3 linked regions of the Styela clava genome follow. The protein of the gene in region 3 purifies or fractionates together with the protein of the main gene of each other region. This does not show direct contact. Links are inferred from orthologs where the notes say so. Each region holds a gene or a part of one and is shown on either strand. Other genes may lie near its edges.

Region 1 (7,776 bases), on a different chromosome or scaffold from region 3:
GTATCGCTTTCCTCACTGAGTATTGGATCAATTGCTTTGAAATTTTAAGTGATTAAGTTTGTATATTTCAGTATTACACAAGTGTCTGTTACTTTCATTCATTACAAAAATTTCTGTAGGATCTATGGGATTCATTTTCTGTGTGCGATGTCATCATCAAAATAAAAAATTGTGCACCCCATGGCGGTTCCGTGTACGCATGGTCAGGTGAAGCCGAGAGATTGCGTTCCCGTACTACTTTATTTTGGCCTTGATGTCCATATATTCGAGCATTGCTTTCTTTATTAGAATATACTCAATTTCATATTCGGAATTGACCATCCGTGGCATCCACAATACAAAAAAACATGCATTAGAGGGACAAGACAGACTGGGCAACCCACCTCTTGCATTATAGCTCCGGCACTTGGATCGAGATCTTTGGCTTTTTGTAACGAGAGAAGAGCTGCTTTGGAATTGCCAAGTGCAATATGACATTTGCCTTCACGAAGATAACCCTAAGAAAGAAAGAAAATTGTATGTTCTTATTTATGAAGCACCTATAAATTGTCTTATAAAAGTTTTGTCATTACACAAATTACTTGAATATTTTTTTATACAATGATTGTCCCGAGTTCTACATTTACCCAATGAATTATAAATTGTTACTTGTTATTTGGAAACACCGAACATTTGCGGATTCACGTATCTTGATCTAACTGCAACATTTTACATACCCAACCTGAACTGGTAACTGGGAAACATTGATTTGCTCTCCATATGATTCATACCCTGACAGATTTCCTCTCAACCAGGATAAATTTGAGAATCAACGATTCACCACCAGGGAGGGACGGCTCTCAAGTGAGAAAATTTTGTTGTTTTGAGAAATGAAATTTTACTTTTGGTTTTGGCCGATTTGGTTTAGTTTCATTAATATTGTTATATTTATGAGCGCATAAATTCTTCAAACCGTACAAAAGCAAGTGCGTGTTGCACATATCGTGGAAGGTTTTTGGTGGATTTTCACTGTTTTCCCCATTTATGCAAGATTTCTGCACATTTTTGGTGGATTTTCACTGTTTTTAACGTTTTTGCAAGCGATCTGTACGTTTTTAGTGGTTTTTCACTGTTTTTGCTAGATTGAAGAAAAATGTCAAAAAAAGTCCTAACAATCTCACCTTAGCAAAGTGTGGGTCAAGTCTGACACTGGTCTGGGCATCTTCAAGAGCTCTTTTATAATTGGAATCCATCATATAGGCTGCTGATCTGTTTCCGTAGAAAGCAGCATTTTTTGGATTTAGATCTGAGAATAACAAGATGGAGAATTGTGAGCAGGAATGTCCAGATTAGATTGAATATTCTCGAGAGTGATCAAAGAATTGGAATTAGATATTTTGGCATTGTAGGTAAAAGATCTTGGTAGACCCATGGGTTTGTTCCCCGTGCCCATTGTCTCACCCATGGTGCGATGAACTGAGCGTGAAGGACTCTGATAGTTTCAGTGACTTCTCAGTAAAGTAGTGGCAAAGTAGTCACATTAAAAATATGATCGTAACACTATAATTTAAATTTCAAATTAATAGAATTGACAATGGCTTTAATGAAAAATATGGCCATGTTAGCATTTGGCTGGCAATGCGAAACGAGAAAGGTTTCAGTCGTTTTAAAATCAGTAAACAATGGTCTCTGGCTTGTTTAGAGAAAAAAAGGGGGTGGAAATGGCCTCCTTAAAATACATCCAAAATTATGGATAGTAACATTCTAAATACTGATTTCGAAAATAATTTGGTTTTTCAAGCATTTGACATTTTTTTCAATTATCAATAACTTCAAACCAATGAGGAGAGAGGAATTGCAGATATATACCCATGAATTCTGTGGTCTAATATTATAGTTATTTAGTATTATTGTAAGTCATGAACCGGTAAATATGTTCACATTATAGACCATTCAAACTGTACAAAAGTCAGATTGAGAGTTGTGCGTATCACTAACTAGAGATGCATTAATAATTTATAAAATAAAGGAAACAGGGCTCCAATGCATAGTGAGAGAGGAATAAAAGAGATCCGGTGCTCCCGAAGTATGCGAACCAAGATGGCGGTCATCGGAACGTAACATGGGTAACAGGTTAGGGTTAGGCGATAATTTTTTTCCAATTTTCCTTATTTTAGTCCTATTATCAGTTCGAAGACTAGCCAAGAGCCTCCCGTAGTATTTATACCTAAAATTATGGCCTAACCCTAACCTAGTACACATATAACATTCCGATGTCCGCCATCTGGGTTCGCATACTTCGGGAGTCCCAGAGATCCAATATAGGCAAAAGGAGGAATGTATTGAAAAATGTTGGTAACCACCGACTTTAAAAATTCTACGTTAAGCTAAATTTTGAGCACCCCTAGTGGGCAGACTGTTAAAACAAATCTTACCAATCGCCTCAGAATAAAGTCTAACGGCTTCTCGATAATTTTTTTTCTTGTAAAACTCATTTCCCTCAGCTTTCTTCACTTCTGCACCCCTAAATAAAAGTTAAAAATTTAGTTATAGAAGGAGAGAAGCAGGGGGGTAAAGTACTTTAAAAAATGAAAATTATTATTAGCAATAAACACAGATGGCCAAATCTATTCCAAAACAATGGGCCTATTTTTAAATATGGAACATATTTATGTGATGTTTTCTGTAGATCTTTCAATGCCCGGTCATTGTGCTGTCATCGCTAAGCAACGAGGTGAACATTTATTGTCCAAAATATTCACACACAAGGTAATATAATTTAACCGCCATTTTTTGTCCAAAACTTACTTGATGTCAATCTCTGGATCTACATCCATCGGAGTTTGAGATGACGCTGGTATCTGCTGACTTGAGTCCGTTGAAGGCATCCCTGCTGCCTCAAGTGTCCAGAGTTTTTTATTGGGAAGGTAGACGTTTGGCTTTGATTTAGCTCTAAATGATTATCCAGAATTTTCGAATCCGATTTCCAAATGTAGGCTGTATCCTTGAAGGATTTTTGGAGTAGCTACTTCACTTTATATTCTACCTAATCCAACCTGAGTACAAGCAGCCGAAGGCCCACTAGCAGCCACTAATAATACAAAACAAAGCATCAAATAGGTGACCAAATGGATTCATACAAATACATATTGATTTAACATGGCCCGTGCTCAAGTTCATACACCAATAGGTCTTGCACAGAAAATGAAAAATTTCCAGGATTGTCATAAATGAAACATATAAATTAGTGGTTGTTCCCAAAGTTGATTGACAGGAGGCCAAAATTAGAAGCGGAAGGATATTGTGGGCCTGGAAAGAGCAAGTGTGAGACATTTATGTAATCCCAATACCAGTATGTACAACCAAGATACCAATATAATTGAATTATTACAAATATACACAAACACAAGCTCAAACTGCGATATTTAAAACGCAAAAGGATAAAAACGTAAAGTGTGGAACTATTTTACTCAAGTTCAGCGGGCCATGTTAAATTGTTATGCTGGCCGTAATTAGCCCACGGATTTGGGAACCACTGATATAAATGCACAAATTGCAAGAAGTAAAAACAAGATCCTTCATCTTTTAAATACCAAATAATAACAGAAATGAAAATGAAATTCCAGGGCCTATAGATATTAGCATGTCACTGTTGTTAAACTTGGCGCAAGTGGAACATTAAAAGTAAATTGAGGGCTTCAGCCTTCAATCCAAACAGATGAAACTTGAAAAATATGTTTTTAGGAAATAAGGAAACACAAATTTTTGACTTTCAATTGAACTATCCAAACTTTTTATTGAAATAATTTGATGGATATTGTTTCAAACTTTGAGAAATAGAGAAATCCACTAAATCAAACTGTTACACAGGCCTTGTAAGAAATTCATCAATAGTTCAGATGCAGAATATCATCACTGATGTGAAAATAATATTAACATTACCAGCCAAATCTAAAACATGCTCATTTCAAATAACTGTCCAAAATAGCAAACCAAACGTAACAAATGTGAATCCAAACATTCCTACTTATGAAACACAGCCCTCAATACCAACATAATCTTGCAATTCCACGAATAATATTGACATTAATGAATAATAACGACAATATCTAGTAGACTAAAAGGGTACTTTTTCTGACCAGACAGGCTGAGCAGTTGGATGGGGGCCACATTGCCAGACTCAAAACTGATTTTACATTTTCTTCTACTAGAAAACAACCCATTTTCCATCTGTTTTACCATACCGAGATTTGGGATCAAAATAATACTACAAATACCACTGGAATAATAAACAGGGGGCCATGATCCTCTGGGAAGAGGCCACAAGCCATAAAAGTTTGGGAACCACTGTTCTAAACATTTCCATATACAGCCCTACACAACAATACAATCAAGCCCATCCCATAGGCAACAAATGATATTGCCATAAATAGATAGACTAAGAGAGTGTTAACAGCAATATCACACTTCCAGAAGGTAAAAATACCTGTGACCTAGATAGTTAATTAACCTTACATTACTATCCTGATATGACTGGAATAATAATTTTTTTTAAAAAAACCTAAATGGACAATGTCAATATAACTTGCAAATTGTAAGTTTTCAGTTCTATAATTATATCCATTAATATTATTGCCAACGTCAATTTGATGTGAATTTTTTGAAAACATTTTTTTTGTATAATTCCAATATAGTCAACAATCCATATAACATAATTCCACAGTTAGTTATAGGTCATATATCTTGGTGTTGAGCTGAACTTTGCGTATGACTTGATCACTTTGTTGACAGCTTCCAGAAAATCTTTTTCCGTTGCAACTTTTCTTCGAGCACGAATAGCGTACATTCCAGCCTCAGTGCAAACGCTGCGAATTTCAGCGCCAGTGCTGTTTGGGCACAAACGAGCCAAAAGCTCGTATCGAATGTCACGCTCGACACTCATACTCCGTGCATGGATTTTAAAAATGTGGGTTCTGCCTTCAAGATCTGGCAACCCAAATTCTACTTTTCTGTCCATTCTACCTGGACGCATCAGCGCTGGGTCTAAAGTGTCAGGCCGATTCGTTGCCATTAGTACCTTGATATTTCCACGCGGGTCAAATCCATCCAATTGGTTGATGAGCTCCAACATTGTACGTTGAACTTCATTATCCCCGCCAGCTCCGTCGTCGAATCTAGCGCCACCTATGGCATCAATTTCATCAAAGAAAATTAAACATGCTTTCTTAGTACGAGCCATTTCAAATAATTCACGAACCATTCTGGCTCCTTCCCCGACATACTTCTGTACCAACTCGGAACCAATAACACGAATAAAACAGGCATCCGTACGATTAGCAACTGCTCTCGCGCAGAGCGTTTTCCCTGTTCCTGGGGGTCCAAAAAGAAGAACCCCCTTTGGAGGATCTATTCCAAGTGTAACGAAACGTTCAGGGTGCAACAAGGGAGTTTCCACTACTTCACGTAACTTCTGAATTTGCTCTTTGCAGCCTCCGACATCCGAATATGTTACATCTGGTTTTTCTTCAACCTGCATCATGGTAACAGTGGGGTCTATTTTAGGGGGTAACGGGATATGAATTTGGTATTTATTTCTATCTACCCCCACTCTCATGCCTTCTTCTATATCGGTTGGAGCGACTTGATCTCCAAGGTCTACGACGAACTTCGCAAATTGCTTCACATTGATGATATACTTGGCGTTATCTGTGTCAGCATCAATAATTTTCGTACATCGGGCTACTTGCAATGGTTGTTCACTATGCAACGTTTGTTTATCCGCGGCAAGATCCCACAAAGCCGGTGGGGCGAGTCCAGTATCCGATTCTTTAATTCCTGTGAGCTCATTAACACGTTTCGTAATCGCTATGATGTCATCTTCAACTTGTTTGATTTGCTTCGCATACGGACCCTGTCCGTACGTCTTCAGGAGTGCGATATCTCCTTCATCCAGAGCTTGGATCGGTTTCTCGTCCTTATTTTCATCGTCACGGACTCTGCGTTGGTCATCTCCCAAATAGTCTGGCATTTTTATTGTTATTTACTTTACTTTATAAATTATTATAACACTAGCAAAATTGAACTGTTATTGAAAAAACACATACAGACTTACCGGTATATAATTATTATTATACATTATTCGCTATTTGATTAATTTTTTTAATCTGTGAATGAATCATTTTACCATCTCTACACGTTTGGCAGTCATCCGGTGCAGTTGCATTTTTCAGCGGTGCAGAAGGACTGAAATGAACCAGCACCGAAGAAATATCAACATGTAAATACTGAAATATTGGGAAAAATACTACAAAAAAGCGCAATTTAGTAAAATCATCGTTGAATTTCAATCCGATTTACCGAAGGAGAAAAAATTTTACCGGAGCATTCGAGAGTTTTTAGCAGAAAACGGCAATTTTGGTCATGTGACTGCCACGATTAATTTAGATTATTATTGAGACAAGCATGGTGTGATATGACGCATCTGACGTGGCCCCAGACACCCCTCGTTTGTGAGACACATAGAGTGTTTGGTTTATTGAGCCAATTGGAGGGAAATTCTTGAAATTTGGATAGGGTGCTGTACTGTGCTAGAAATTCTACTTGAATACTAAATGAGAATTCAACTATATATGCGTAAATAGTTTTTAATGTAAATTGATATGACCATAACAATGCTCAACGTTTTTGAACATTCATTTGATGGCATATTTTTGTTTTGTTCTCTCTTTGTGTATACTGTTTTAACAATGCTGGCCACGTCAATATATCAATTAGGCTACAGACCTGTTCACGTGTGATTAGTGTTTTTCCTGAAAATTGTTTTTATTAGCGTTCGTACACCGAGTTTACCGTCATAGTTTAGAGTTTGCTTGATCTTATACCACTTCATCACCTTTTTCAGCAATGCCCGATCTAGCAATCAGGCAAATAGCAGTGTAGTTTTTCATGGCTCGGTTTTTCTTAGCTTCAATGACTATTGTTGTCAGTTTATTACATTGCACTCCCCACATTATCTTTATATCAGATTGTATTGGTTATATCAATGTAAGTGTTAAAAGTACAACAGCCCGAAAGTTAAATACTATTTCGTATTTGGGGTCTCGTGTAGTTTCGTATCTAACATACTTCTAGTGGGCGTAGCATCACAATTTTCTGACATATCAATCCTAACCCCCACCTGACTATGCCATCCAAATATTACTTCACTGCGACATCACAATCACGTCATAGAGCTTGACAAATATACGTACGATCGCCTGAAATGGCATCGGTGCCGGCGATAAAGAACTTACTAACGTTAGTGATCTCTCTCATATTGGGATCGTCGAGATGAAAAAACGAGAGAAGTAGCCATTCGATTTCAGGTGTGCAGACAAGCGCGTTTTGGATGACGGTTCGTATAGTTTGAAGGGCTCTATTACGCCACTGTGACGTCAGAGAGACATAATTTTTGGATGGCATGGTCAGGTGGGGGTTAGGATTGACACGTGCAAATATTGTTACTATACGCCCACCAAAAGTATGTTAGGTACGAAACTACATAAGACTCCATATTTTGTTTGTTCAATTCTGGCCCACGCCTCATTTAATTTGGTTTGTGTGTGTGCTGAGGGGCATGATATTTATCATGTCTTAAACTATTTTGTATGCTCTCCGGAATCCTCCATTTTTAATCTGTGTGTGTTATGGAGTTTTCAAAATAAACTACTGTATCTATCTAGGGTTACCATATTTTTTTGACTTCAAAGCGGGACTCCTCCTGTAACTTTACATTTTCCGATTCACTACATAGGCCTA
Region 2 (7,392 bases), on a different chromosome or scaffold from region 3:
TACTGTGGATTTTCAATAGTGAGGAATGATCGACTTTTACTACCAGGGAATCCAGATATTGGCATTTTACAATATCAAGACAAACTCTATGTCTTTAGTTCTAATGCAGCTGCTGTTGAATTTGCTAAAAATCCTCCAACTTTTATTAATGGAGTTGCAGAAGCTGCAAAGGCTTCACCGGAATTGATCCAGCTTTTGGAATTGCATCAGCAGTTTGCCAGTATTACTCCTTATCCGCAAGCAGGAGAGGGTGGAAAAATGTTTGAAAAACCTGTCACAAAATCCGATTCTGGAACTCAAACAGACACTCACATACTCGAACACAACATAGTTAAAGATTATGAGTGGAACGAGTGGGAATTGAGAAGAAAAGCAATCAAACTTGCAAACCTGCGTACTAAGCTTACAAAAACAGTACAGACAAATCTCAGTAATCTCCGTAGAGACAACGTGAGTCAAGTATATTTGCCAAAAGAACAAGGTGCACAAACCAAGAAAGAAAGTTCAAGCAATGTTCCAAAGCCGCAAGTTTTCATGGCTGGACTTCGAGGAATCAGAGGAATTAGAACTATGGTCAGAGTTGATTTAACAAAAGATGTCAATGACGCTTAATATTTAGTTTTCATATTGTTTACATGTTACTTCTAATAAAGATATTTCTAATCCTTTATTATAGGAAAAGTTCTATTATAAATCCTGTTTGTATTTTTATAATAACATGCATATAGGAATCTAGTTCATTAATGTGTGTTCAGGTATTCGGGAATACCAAATTCTACTTTATTTGAAAAAATTATCATTTTTTTCAACCCATCTCAATATAAACAAAAATCTGCATTGTTCAGCTTTAGTTTATTGAGAACATCAAAATTTAGGCACTGGTTGGGTCAGTCATCTTGTGGGGTATTTATACCTCTAATTCATATTTAAATGGGGCTTTGCTTGGGCGCCAAACTTGTATGTGGATGTCCGCTGAATTGATTTGTCCTCCGGTAGCCAGTAGAAATTCTTCATGACATCTTGTGATAGGGCTGTCTGTTGCGACAAATGACAGTATAGGATGATAGGATAGGATAGGATTTACATATTTATCCCGGGGGAGAGGAAAGCCGATAAGACGGCTTATCCATATGGCGAACCACGGCCTCTCGTCCGGTTACCATTCCAAGTCGGGTATGGGATTAGTTTTTACTGTATTGTTTGTTTTCGGAAGCATGGACTTGGTGGTGGAGGAAGCCGTAACCGACCAGCGGTTACGTGAACCACCCAACGACGGCGAGGAGTCCAGCAATCCTCTCGCACATAACCATCCCTACATGGGATTCGAACCTGCGAACCCACGCAGAGTAATTAGAGGTGCGGTGGCGAGCGTATTCCTAACGCTTAGCCCGTTGAGCCACACCACCATGCATGTATCCTTACGCCTTTTCTGTTCTCGTAAAGTCCTCTTATATGTTGAGTGTAACTCCGTCTGGGTCTTGCTTGTGATTAGGGTGACCATACGTCCTCCTTTTTCGTTGAAAATTTTGTGTCCTCCAAGGACGCAATAAAAAGTCAAAATGTCCTCCTTTTTCGCGGGATTAATTATTCAAAATTCTCTCATGATATACTCAACAGTTTTTGATGTGTTAAAAAAAATTTCAAAGTGAGTAGAAACTTGGAGGAGCTGTTCCAGAGGTTCGCCGAAGGTTCTCTACAATAGTTATATATAATAAAATCTTTCTAGTACCCAGCTTACTAATTAAGAAAAAATATTAAAATTGCGATAGTCCATCGAAGATATACAATCTTACACGTTTAAACAACTCGTGAAATGGCTCAGGTGTGTCAGGCTCAGGTGTGCCGGGTGTAGCTTCGCGCAGATATATGTTTTACTGGACATGTCAATGACCGTTACATCTTGAATTCAGTACATTTCATTAAAACTCATATCAAAATTGCGCTAGTTCATAATGTAGGCTATGTCAATTTCGGCAAAAATCCGTGAAAAAAAAAAGTTTCAATCCTCATTCGGATGCAGTTTAAAGTTTTGGATACGGATGACTCGTGCTACCTACATTTTTGAGGTATTATATCATCTTTCTAATCTCCAGAATGCAACTTTTATACAACAAAAGATGGTTGCTGCGACACCATTGTGACACAACAATCACTATTTACACACACATCGTATTAGTTAGTATCTAATTCTAAGGTTACACCACAATGATCATTTTATATAACCTTGCAGAAAATTAGCTTCCCCTTTGTGAAGTTCTGATTGAGATCCTAGTTTCAACCTTTGACGGGAGCTTGCACAATAGTGGAGAAGTTCGGCAGAGCACTGCCCTAGGTTAAATGCATACTTGTAATGCATAGCCGTTTATCACGAAAAATCGTGTTGTTCTGCAATTATTTTACGTCATTTTATTTGTATTTCGCAATTTAGTAAAGTTTCGATTTTGGCAAAAAAATTCGTCAGCAGACCCGGTAAAAACCCATTTTACACATGAATTAAAGCAGAAGTATCCATGCCTCAAAAAAGATAAAACTCAAAGTGACTATGAAAACTAATAGAGAAGCGGAGTGAATTACTTGCGGATACGATACTTCCGTTTCTGAGGTGAATGAAGGCAAGATTAGCTTACAGTTGCATGTTGACAAGACAAAAACAGGATTTATTGTGATACACGTGTAGTCTAAATTATATTATAATCTAACAAGTATAAAATTCACAATTACTTGTTCAAAATGAGCCTTTAATTAATAATTATAGTTAAACAAAACGCAGAAAAGTTAATGCTAAGCGCAAAGGGTTCATAGCGCCGAAAATATTCAAATGGAATTTTTTGAGATGCAATGCAATGCGGAAATAAATCTATATTCTATTCGAGAGATGTATCACTGCTTGATTTTTATTATAAAAAGTATCATCCGTTCGGTCTTCAACTTTCTAAAAATATGTGCGGCCGCCAATGACTTGCAACCCTTAATTTTGGCCCGCGAGAGACAAAAGGTTGCCGACCCCTGATTTAGAGAAATAAGACAAACGGGCCAGTCAGTAGTTTATTCTATCACATGCCGAAAGTACACAGTAGACAAACATAATTACGATAAAAAAACGAAGAAATACGTTTCAGTGTGAAAGAAGATAAACTAGTGATAATTATCGAGCAGGGTCACCGATGAGGGAGTGAGTCTAACATTAAATCATTTCGAGAAAAAGTCAAACATAAAATACTAAAAAGCCAGGGTCGAAGTTAGAAGGATTGGTGAGATAGGCATACATTTTTTGTGTTGAAAAGTAAAGGATAAGGACAAATTTTCAGGAGCCAAAGTTCGGGGAAACGTCCGTACCTTATCATTATAATGTTTCGATGCCTATTTTGAAAAGGATTTTCAAGTTCCAGCATGTGCCGAGAGGCCAAACGCTGCAAAAAACACCATTTTATTTAAAATTAATCAAACAAATCTGTCTGAGTGAGAAAAAAAATGTGTCTGCTTTGCTGGATAAATTTCAATTAGTACATGACGACCAGTTTTATGAAAACCTGCCATTTTTAGAGAAAAACAAAACTCGGGTAGAGCGTCGGTTGACCACTGGACGTGTTGTAAATATGATACATTTTCACGAATTAGTTGCTTTCTGGTTGTTACGATTTTTCCAGCTCATCACTGGACATATACGTAGACAAACGCTAAATTGGAACGTCAAAAGACGTACGAATAAGAGCGATGAATTTTCGACATCATAATGTTGCAATAAATACATACCTTCGTCGAGATGTCATTTTATATTTTCCGCTTTAACGTATCGATGCAACGTCGACAACGGGGCATGTCGTGGGCGGATGTGGAGAGAAAAACAGCCGATTATTATTTAAGATAAGTTGTTGCAGAGCCGGCCGGATCAGTCGCGATTCGCTGCCGTGCGGCGTTGGTCTGCGCTGTAGTATTTGTAAAGTGCGGTTGTGATTTAGGTCCTGATTCAGAGTTGCGCATTGACTGACTTTTTCATATTCATTATGAACTTTAGGTATTCAAAAATGCTAGTTCCCCAATCATACACTAATACAGTAATAATACTTTCTGGCAGAAATTTTGCAAAATTGAAGGTTCTACTGACTGTCCAGAAGCTTACAAACGAACTATATTAGTTATAAAACATGGGGTTACATGGTTTATATTTATCAATTATAACTTTAAAAATATATAAAAATAAATTGACATGTAATCTAGACTCTGCAGTGTAGTAGTGATGGACTTATACTAGTGTATTCAGGTATTACTGTATTATAGTAATGCAGTGTTATTACAGTATTAATAGAAAGTCTTGTACTCTACTGGTCTATGTAGTTATACTACAGTCACATTATTGATAGATTTTCAAATAAACTACTGAAATACAACTAACATAGTCATGTCAGCCAAAGCAATTTCTGAAGCTGATGGAAAACTTCTTTTATCAAAACATCTGAAAGATTCGTCCAACCTCAAAAACCGATTCAAATTTGCAACTGTCAATGGATACAGTGATTGGAATGCAACTGTAGCATCAAATACATGGATGAATTCTGAGGTAACAATTTATAATTCCTCAGTTGTGTGACTTTATTCTACTTTCTGACTTTTATATTTGACAGTTTTGAGAAATATGCAGAGCTTAACCAAAATGGTACCAAATCTTGATGGTGCATTTTTCACTATCATACTGTCCTAAGCAACATAAAAATAAAATTTTTATATAATTTAAAAATAGCACTTTCATGCAGTTCTCTGATTCCAAGATGTACCGACATTTGGTACAATAAAACAAACTCACCATTTGTCTCTGAAATACGGGCATCTGGCACAACGGCAGATGCGGCACAACATGCCATGCTTGTTTCAGTAATAATTTAAATCAATTGCGACGTGCGTTGGCCGTCATCTGACCGAAATCGTGTTTTTTTGCTAAAAAAAATCTGGAAAATCAAGTTTAATTTCATCAATTTCTTTAAAAATTTGCAGAAACTAATTGTGAAGCCTGATCAGCTGATAAAACGAAGAGGAAAACTTGGTTTGATAAAGCTGAACACAGACGTCGAAGGTGTGAAAGGATGGGTCAAAGAAAGAGCTCAAAAGGAAATAGTTGTCGGATCAACAAAAGGAATTCTGAAAAATTTCATCATTGAGCCTTTTGTTCCTCACAAACAGGTAAACAAATAAATCAAATTGTCACTGTTGTTGTTATTTCTGTAGCAAAGAAGATTTATAGATTAAGAAGACACTGCTATTTAAATCTTCATCTTCTCAGTGTGCTTTCTGATGTATTGAAGAATGGTAAATATGAATCCAAGAAGCAAAAGTCTTCTTCCGAAATCATTCAAGTCTAGAATTATCATACAAATTCAAGTTTCATACAATTCAGTTTTCACGTTGTAAACTAAAATCAAAAAAGTATCAGATTGAAGATTGCTTTGTCTGTGATAAAATTAACTCTTTTTTTTTTGAGAATTAAAAACACAAAGTTCTGAAACTTTCATAAATATGATAGAAAAATGGTTTAATAATCGTTACTTAATACAAATTTGATTTTCAAGCATTTTCAAGCTACAAAAATACATTTCAAAACACAATATCTTGCCATGTATCGATCTACTTATTCAAAGCTTCATTCGAGGGAAGATATGAAATAACCCATGGAATATTTGAATTTGTCAATAATAAAAAGCTTGTCAACGGAAGTCTAGGTCATGTAAAACTGAGATAGTCGTAATTTTAATTAGATTTTTTTGCGAATGGGTTCTTTTATTGTGATTGATTTACAAGTCTGTGTTGAAATTCATACGGTAACTTCCAAAGTTTTATCAATATATAATATCTAAAATGTATCATATCATCAACACAAGAACCATGGTATTGATTTTGCTGTCAAACATTTTTTTTTCTAGATTTCATTAATTAAAGCAGAAGATTTATTGATTTTATCTTGGCAAAACAACACCTTTTGTCAAAATGTTTGAATTGATTTGGCCTTGAAAGCATAAATACATCAATAAACTGAAATCATAAAATTGGATTTTTAAACTTGTTCGAATATAAAATGTCTTGTCCGAAAACCAATAAATCAATTCTAATTAGGACTGTACTAATTTGAAGATCTTCAGATCGAAATTCGTAAATTTCCATTTTGGCACTGAGAGTTTGCCATACTATTTATTAATGCTTTTATATTGCTTTAAGGAATCATTTTTTGAAATTGGACAGTGCACTGTAGTATGTTCTCTTGCGGCCTAAAAGTATTTTGATTTCATTCGTGTTTAATGATTACAAGCACGAGATGTGTTTTGATTTTCATTTCAATAGATATTACTCATTTTCCTGTTTTACATTCACAGGAAGAAGAATATTATGTTTGTATCTATGGTACAAGAACAGGTGATGCGATCCTATTCTATCATGAAGGTGGTGTTGATATTGGTGATGTTGATTCAAAAGCAAAGAAAATAGAGGTATGAAAATACACTGAAATCCCGAATCTCAAATTTTCCATGCTGGTCAATATATTCTCGAGCGTGTGAAACTAGTGTTTGACTTAGCGATAGATTGAGGTTTCTGGTCGAAACTTGACAATACAAAAATGCAACACAATCACATTAGTTTTTTGTTTTAAAATTGATTAATTGAATAAAAAAAATATGGCGATTCAAATGTCTTTCTGGTGACTATTTTCAACTGGCCGCTTATATAGGCCCTTTTTCTAACTAAAAGTACCAAATGGCTCCTGAAAACTGTTAGTTTGAATACTTAATAGTAACAAAATGGGTACAGGGTTAAGTTTGTACATTATGTTTGAATTTTTGGAGATTTTTTCCTTGTGAATTTGCATGTAGTTTTGGTACATTGAATACAGTTTTTATCATAAAATCTTGTCATATTTTCATATATTTTCACAGATTGATGTTGAGGAGGACGTTACTGTATCAAACATTTGTGAGAATCTACTCGGAGAAGTTTCGAAAAATGCTCATGAGTAAGTATTGTGATCTTAATTGAAAATAGCATTTTTTTTTGTCACAATGTTTGTTGTCTAAAGTAAACGCCTATACACTTTCTACTCTTTTTGCAAATGTTTCATTCTCTTCATTAACCTGCCTTTTTATCATCTGTCCAGAACACTTGGGACTTTCATCAAAGATCTTTTCAACATGTACAGATATCTTCATTTTACATATTTGGAGATAAACCCACTAGGTAAACTTTTGTATATGGTGTGTTTTTGTTCATTCAAATTATTGAATCGGTGAACTCGTTCCCAAAGTTCATTTGTAATTTCAATCATTAATAACAGATCCTTGTATCATTTCTGTTTACAGTTATGTGTGGCACAGATATCTATGTCATTGACATGGCTGCTAAATTAGACCAGGT
Region 3 (7,698 bases):
ATTATAAAGATCAATGTCCAAAAACCAAAACCGTTACAAGTGAAAGGCACTTCAGGCACTGGCGGTGAAGTAGCCATGGGCAACTGTGCATAGCAACGCACAGTAAACTGAGTACACTCAGCATAGGATAGCTATTCAGGAACAAAATAAACTGCAATTCAATCTTACAACACACTGTTACTCACTAGAAATTTCATCTTCACATTCCTTCAGTCCTTTCTTTAGTTGTTCATTGTTTGAATCAATTTTCAAACCTTCTTCGAAAGTATTCTTGGCTTCGTCATATCTTGTAAGAAATTGTAATGCTGATCCCTTACGTGAGTAGCCCTGGAAATTAAAAGATTTGAAAATGTGTATATACTTTATTTGAAAAATTCCTAAATGCGAGCCCGTCGTAATAAAGTAAGCTAAATGAAATAATATCTAATCCACTGTCTATCCTTAGTCATAGAGTGGTTCACGTAATTACTGCCTCCTTCCACACTCGACATGGACTGGTAACCGTACAAGAGGTCATGGTTCGTCATATGATTAGGCCGTCCTATCGGCTTCTCCCTTCCCATTATAAATCCTATCCTGAATCCAATCATCATTACTTATCGACTTCAATCGATAAGTATGTTGATAGGTATCTGTCTGTTAGATACACGCGATATCTCACGAAATCGAGGTTGAATCTGCTCCAAATTTTGCATGTGCATTCATCATAGCTCGGATCAGAAGCCTATTGATTTTCGATGAATTATGTCGTATAATTGGCGAGTTATCATTTAATTAGTAATAGGACACACGGTGTCACTATGGAGTAAGAGCGCTGTTTTGGGGGATCCCCTAACCTTCGATCGATGAGTCTTCGGTCTCCGACCGATATTCTCGTTTTACCTTTGGCCATTTAGGCTGCAGTTCAATAACTTTCTCTGCATCAGTCAATGCTTCCGAATATTTTTCATCCTTGGCATAAGCTGCTGAGCGATTACTGTACAGTATATGATTGTCTTTATCAATTTCAATTCCCTGAAATTAAATCAACACATTCAAGATTAATTATATTTGATATTATTTGCACTGCACTCTGAACGAGGCCCTGTGCAAGCATTTACTGGTATAAAAGGAGCTAGTATTTATTGAAAGCCTGGAATCATCCATTGTCAGAATCATTCCACTGCAGACCCCATTTATTACACCCATAGTGAGGGAGTTGGAAAGGAATATTTTTTTAATATTCCCATTTGCTGTCAAGTTCACTTCCTTATAATGCATGGGTAGTTTAAAATAACTCTGATGCAAACTTCGTACCAAATGTCAGAATGTTTGCCATATAAATTTGAGCATATGCCTTTTTCGATTGTCTGTTTAAAATGATTAATCAATTTAGGGTGCTCCCGAAGTATGCGAACCAAGATGGCGGACATCGGAGCGTAACAGGTTAGGGTTAGGCGATAATTTTTATCCAATTTTCCTTATTTTAGTCCTATTATCAGTTTGAAGACTAGCCAAGAGCCTCCCGTAGTATTTATACCTAAAATTATGGCCCAACCCTAACCTAGTACACATATTACATTCCAATGTCCGCCATCTTGGTTTGCATACTTCGGGAGCCCCCAATTTAGTGCTTTTTGGATTATCACAAGTTGAAGTCTGAGATTGCTTTTCAGAGCCTTAACGGCAGCTCCAAGAAATTAAGAAATTTTTGCATATGTACGGTAGGCTGTTAATGAGTTAGCCTATCAACTTGTCCTGTTAGCACATCTTTGCTCAGAAAGTCATCATGCAAGCAATACTACAAATACAAAAGCTTCGAAACTAGGAAAGTAATTTCACTTTTGTATAAGCTTCGATTGCGTCCGCTATTCTTCCTTCTGTTAATGCTTTGTTTCCTGTGGCTTTGAATTCGTCAGACATTGTCTGAACAGAAAACAAATGCAATAAAAACTCACAAAACAGCTAAGTGTTTTTCAATATTTAAGCATTTTGAAAAATATAATAAAAAAGGAGCCAAACCAAATAGTCTACTATGAAACATATTCAGAATACTGGAATGCATGTTCAGATGTTACCGTGCTTTTTGACGCCTAAAATTTGTTAAAAATAACTGTATGTTGGTTTACTTGGCTTACATATACATTTTAATATTTCGGCAGAAAAGAAAAGATGAAAACACGGCTAATCATGATATATTGTCAAGCTAACCAATAAAACCAGTTGATTCAGTAATTGTCCCATACAACGAGTGGGAGTGGTGACTCTTCTACGGCCCATGAGCCGGGGCCACGGCCCATCGAAATGGGCCTCGGCCCATCAGGCTATGGGCCGCGGCCCATCAAGTTGTGTAATGGGGTGAAATAATAAAGACTAACAAATATGTAGTTCCTACCTAAATCCTACCCACACCCCGAACTTGTAATAGAACTATAATGTGAAAAATCTGAACAAAGTTTTGTCCTAACCCTAACCTGGTACACATACTTCAGGTGTATCATTTTCTGTAGCTTAGTGTTTTTCTTTATTTTTATGTAAAGGCTTTTCATAAGAAAAAGCTTTGGTGGCATCCCGCGATTTTTTTTGGTTCGAAAATTGACAATTTTGTAAGAATTGAAAATTTTGGCAAGATAATTGAATTTTTTTCTGATGGGCCACGGCCCATGTGGCCCAATTAGATGGGCCGTGGCCCCGGCCCATGGGCCTTACAGGAGTCACCACCCCTGTACTGCTGTAGCATACAACTGTCAGACTGTAGTCTACAACCATATGCATGGCAGCTCAGACTCAATTGTTGAAACTAAGTTCCGAAATAACCAGCGGTTGTAGACTATCAGTCAAACAGTATTCAATGCCGATCTAGACAATAAATTTTTCTTAGAATAGTTACCTTATTTTCGGCCATTTCCACTTCCCAACAAACAAAGATGGGATGTTACACCTTTATTTCTCAACCAGTTTGTCTTCAAGTCGACTCTACCGGACACAGCTTGCAATTAAGAAATTATACACAGATTTATATGTTTAAAATACCTAATTTGATCTCTAAAAATTGAAATTTAATACAAAATATAGATGAAAGACCAAATTCACTTCTAATGACCAGACTTTCTTTAGAAAATTCCCGAATTCACACATGTGAATACGCTTGACTGCACTTCATTCGAGAAGGATCATTCTGGCTGTGGTTCCGTGATTTCTTTTGTTGCAAATTTATATCCGCGATATAGGATTTTATATTTATCCCGAGGGAGAAATGAGCTGAAGAGTCCACCTAATTATATGGAAAACCAGCAATTCTTTTGCACATAATTATCAACTACGGGATTCGACCCCGCGAGCCGAAGCAGGGTAATTATAGATGCGCCATAAGCGCGGCGCGGTTCTTGGGGTCAACTTTAGTCTTCAACTAAATTGAAAACTCGTTTTGCGCGCCGTACTATTTTTCCTTTCCACTAGTTTCAGCAGCGGTGCATGAAGCCTATTCTTTGAGGTCATCTAACCGAGAAGTGAGCCCATACTGGTGGGCCATGTAGGCTATGTATATATGACATAATAAGTTACATTTCAGGAACAATATTTACAGCGAAAGTGTGAAACAATAAGCCTTGTGTCAAAACTACTTTAGTGGTTCGCTCGTAATTTCTTCGTAAGAGATCACGTCCTCTGCTTCTGAGTAAGATGAACTAAGTAAATAGCTGACACCAAGTTAAATAAGCGACTTCCATCTGATGGGGTTATTTGGGTCTCTTTTCTGATCCTAGTCACCGTACACCATCATTTCGCGTTCCTCTCTTTGCCTGGGCCTGACAACACCTTTCTTTCAACCATTCTAGCCAGCTCCTGCATATGACCCCTTTTCGGGTCTCTTTCCCGACCCCAGTCACCCTGTGCTCGACTTGTCTGCACCTCTCTTGCAACCAGATCAGGCTGACTTCTGCCTATCTTTCTTTCCCCTTTCTGCCTGTACCTTTTTTTCTTGACTTATCCTCTTAATTAACCCTGTTTACGCTCTAGATAACTTTCTACACATGAATCCAGTGGAATTCGAACCCAATCTTGTACCTGGTCTTATGTTTACAACACCTCTACGCTTCCTTTACGTCACGGATATTTACGATGACCAAAAGGTTTAAAATCTTATTTAATTAACAACCTGACATGGACCGGTAACCGGAAGAGAGGTCATGGTACGTCATATGATTTTTTATTCGTGTCGGCACCCCTCTCCTCGAGAATAATATTAAAAGATTTTGTCTTATCCCTAAATTTGGTTTTGAAATTCTGGGTATCTTTCAAAGCGTGAGGAATATTTTTAAAGAACCACAACTACATGGTCGCCAGTCGGATGAACAGCCTTCTCCTACTGGGCTCTGAATTGGTATCATTCTTCCAGAGACAGAACTGTGTTTGTAGAACAGGGGTTCCCAAACTGGGGTACATGTAGTGGTGGGATTCAGCCGGTACAGTTAGCATTATTGGTTACTGGCAATGACTATTGTGAAGGAACCGGCTGGCAAAATATTTGAATCCCACCACTTAGAGGTAGGCTACAATGAGACTTTTCAACAGTTTCATTTTATAAAGTAGAGACCAATATGTTTTCCGGCTTTTCAAATTTAGAGGGGTGTTTCCAAATTTGGGGATGGTAGATGTTCTACATATTTTGGTAGATATCGGCGTATATTGTAATCCACTTTCTGAATAATCAAATACAATTTTATTTAAGTTAGGAATTAAAGTGTGATGTCACGTCTGAAAATTAGGAGATTGTTTAAAATTTTTAGCGGGAGTGTTCATCCCCTATATATGGGCATGTAGTTAGATCAATGGTCGAGAGTGCTAAGCATAAGAGATGCACGCTCGCCACCGCAGGCGGGATAAATATGTAAATCCTAGTCGTTATCGAGTGCTGTGATGGAACATTTTTAATTGCAGAGCCATCGCTGTGTATTCAGATTGTCCACATTCCATTTACTTCGGGAAAAGTCAAAGTTTTTGTTGCACGCTAACACAGCAATCACTTTGGTAATTGACTCCTCTTTAATCATCTTTACAGTGCACGGCCAAAACCGTCTATGTATGAGATCAGGGCTTCCCGAAATTTCGCGCCCGATCCCTTCCAATATATTGAATCTTCTGCGACCCCTGTTAAGTCGGCATTGTAATGCAAGCGCGCCACTTCTCTAATCCTATATTTTCTCTCGAAATCGTGAGATTTATGTTTTGAACTGGTTTCAATAATTATGTTTCGGGTTAAAAGCCTAAAATGGTGCAATAGATATAGTACTGTGTTTGAAATTGGTGTACCCTTTGCGACCCCTAAGATTCATTGCGTGCTCTGTAGTTTGTGAATCATACTGTTTTGTGATCGTTAGGTTTCGTTTTAACATTTGAGTGTTTTATTTTGTGACTAATTGTTATTACTAGTTGTTTGACAAATGCGTCCATATACGGTGTGGCTCCGAAGTAGGCTAGATTTTTTTCAAACTTTGGGCATGGTATTCTTTTAACATTTGACTTTTTTTAATATACTAGTTGTTTGACTAGGTGTGGCTAAGAAGGCTGCATTTTTTTATGGATTTGGTTTTATAATTGAATGACGGTGATCCTGAGTTTACGCCACCTTGTATGTAAAAATACAGGGTGTCCATAAAGTCGCTTTGATATTTCAATTTTGTTATGAAGTCAGTTCTCAATATACAGGGTGTCCAATCACATAATCGTCCGCACAAGATTCAAAAGCGCGCACGGTAATTAAGAGATGCGGTGGCTATCGCGCTCTTAACATTTATCACGGTGCGTCGACCGCCAGAGTTAAAGAACACCAAGTAACATGCAGTTTGGGCCGAAGTGAGGTATTATTGGAAATACTATTTATTGCAACAAATCGGTTAGTTAAACTCGCTTAGATTACTATTTATTTATTCAAGAGTAGGCCTCGATCCACCGATACTTTTTTTATATTCACATGTTGCAGAGAAGATTTAAAGATCTGGTTTCCTTTATGTGAGAAAGCAAAAGGCAAAATAAAAACACCAAGAGAGAACAGATGTCTAGACTTGACGAACATTTCCGTGATGAAAGATGATTTGGAATAACGCACCTTGCTGTAGGCTACACACGTGGCTTTTGCTTGGTAAGCTAAGTATTCATTACATTCGAAAATAGTAGATCCTACCATATCCATGACTGCTTTTAATCAGTGGCGTAAATACATAAAATAGTGCCCATGGCAAAGCAAAAAGATTCGCTGCTTGATCGTTGACTGGCAACCTTCAAATATCGTTTTTGAATTGAGATATGTGTACGTCGGTGACCGTACATTTGAACCCACGTACATTTGAACCTATGTGTATATCCACGGGTTCAATCTATATGCGGGTGCTAAAACCCATGGGTTAGGGTTAGTGGGGGTTTAACTATTCGTTAAACAAAAAAAATTCCGTAGGTGCAATAGCATACAGGTGCAATTGTCATGGGTTCAAATGTACGTGGGTTCAAATGTAATGGAACCGTGTACGTCAGTATCTAAGTAAAAAGGTGAGTTTCAATAATTTCCAATTTGAGATTATTTTGATGTCTATTGCTTGAGAAGCTAAGTATTTATTTCCTTTATAAATAGTAGATCGTTGAATAAAACAGGCCGATATAAATGCACAGGTTTGTCGTTTATTCTTATTTGTTGGGTCGTCGAATCGGGTCCGTTAATTTAAGTTAGCCCGCATGATGCTGCAACCACCAAACTAAAACCAAATTTGAATGTTTAAGATAAATAATATAGCTCAAAAAATTTGTTGAAATTGAAATAAAATTTAGTTCCACTTTTGCTTTTGTAACACTGTAAATATTGTTCATAAAATGTAACTTTTCCCGCTACACTCTAGGTCAGGGGTGACGAACCTGCGGCCCGCGGGCCACATGCTGCCCGTCAAGGAATTTCGTGCGGCCCGCGAAGCATTCAGGCGATTTAGTGTATTTAGTGGCGTGAAGTCATAAATTCTTATGAATACATATCTGATGATTTGCCATGAAATTTCCATGAAACTGTCCGCGCAATTAGACAGGCCACTTGTGAAAAAAAGTATTCAATTGACAACTAATCCCAGTCTATTTATATTCCTAGCGTTATCAATTTAAAGGTGTGCTTAATGTAACCTGCGGCTGCGTCGACAAAATGACACAATACTATGAAATATCACGGCGATCCACGACCATAAAAAGTGTTTCCAACCGCCCGAATATATTTAGTTTTTATTCGTATTTTTGCAAAGTTACTAATTATACAAATTTGATTGGTTCTATCAATACTGAGTACTGACTTCGTTTTGTCACAATGCTACCACCCAAGTTTTATTTCGAGATATCAACGTTAGGACGATCCTTTGATCCGCGATAAAATATCAAAGACTACAATTTATTTTGGTACAATATAAATTGGTTGTACAGTGATGCCTCAGTAGTCGATCAAAACATTCAAGAGTAAAAATGCTGCGGAACGGAAATTCGGATCCCGAACCGGAACTCGCGGTCCAGTGAAGTGACGATTGTATGCGGTTGAAAGTTTCCCAAATCGTCAATTCGTCCTAATATGAAGCGCTTGGTAAAGCATAAAAGTTGCCAAATATCTCACTAAGAAAAACATGCATTAGTTGTTCTTTTATTTTATGCTGTAATATATCATCAAATAACTACAGCTGTATGGATGCAGTTGTTCGC

Evidence for each region.
Region 1: the proteins of stress-induced-phosphoprotein 1-like (region 3) and dnaJ homolog subfamily C member 7-like purify together in Homo sapiens (affinity purification with mass spectrometry; 4 studies listed by BioGRID and IntAct, with this or other methods). This does not show direct contact. The link is inferred for Styela clava from reciprocal best matches to the Homo sapiens genes STIP1 and DNAJC7.
Region 2: the proteins of stress-induced-phosphoprotein 1-like (region 3) and ATP-citrate synthase-like fractionate together in Homo sapiens (co-fractionation; 3 studies listed by BioGRID, with this or other methods). This does not show direct contact. The link is inferred for Styela clava from reciprocal best matches to the Homo sapiens genes STIP1 and ACLY.

What each region holds. Positions count from the first base shown.
Region 1 is NC_135261.1:467,472-475,247, reverse strand, and holds the start of dnaJ homolog subfamily C member 7-like, read right to left. Parts: upstream 3,071-7,776; 5' UTR 2,868-3,070; coding exon 2,788-2,867; intron 2,504-2,787; coding exon 2,415-2,503; intron 1,286-2,414; coding exon 1,161-1,285; intron 498-1,160; coding exon 384-497; intron 1-383. Other genes in the region: 26S proteasome regulatory subunit 7, read right to left, coding at 4,703-6,007. UniProt on the Homo sapiens protein: Acts as a co-chaperone regulating the molecular chaperones HSP70 and HSP90 in folding of steroid receptors, such as the glucocorticoid receptor and the progesterone receptor.
Region 2 is NC_135263.1:10,041,520-10,048,911, forward strand, and holds the start of ATP-citrate synthase-like, read left to right. Parts: upstream 1-4,295; 5' UTR 4,296-4,399; coding exon 4,400-4,558; intron 4,559-4,989; coding exon 4,990-5,175; intron 5,176-6,359; coding exon 6,360-6,473; intron 6,474-6,917; coding exon 6,918-6,994; intron 6,995-7,135; coding exon 7,136-7,215; intron 7,216-7,337; coding exon 7,338-7,390; intron 7,391-7,392. Other genes in the region: cilia- and flagella-associated protein 206-like, read left to right, coding at 1-612. UniProt on the Homo sapiens protein: Catalyzes the cleavage of citrate into oxaloacetate and acetyl-CoA, the latter serving as common substrate in multiple biochemical reactions in protein, carbohydrate and lipid metabolism.
Region 3 is NC_135264.1:16,802,076-16,809,773, reverse strand, and holds the start of stress-induced-phosphoprotein 1-like, read right to left. Parts: upstream 3,095-7,698; 5' UTR 2,885-3,094; coding exon 2,870-2,884; intron 1,906-2,869; coding exon 1,822-1,905; intron 1,015-1,821; coding exon 883-1,014; intron 328-882; coding exon 186-327; intron 1-185. UniProt on the Homo sapiens protein: Acts as a co-chaperone for HSP90AA1. Mediates the association of the molecular chaperones HSPA8/HSC70 and HSP90.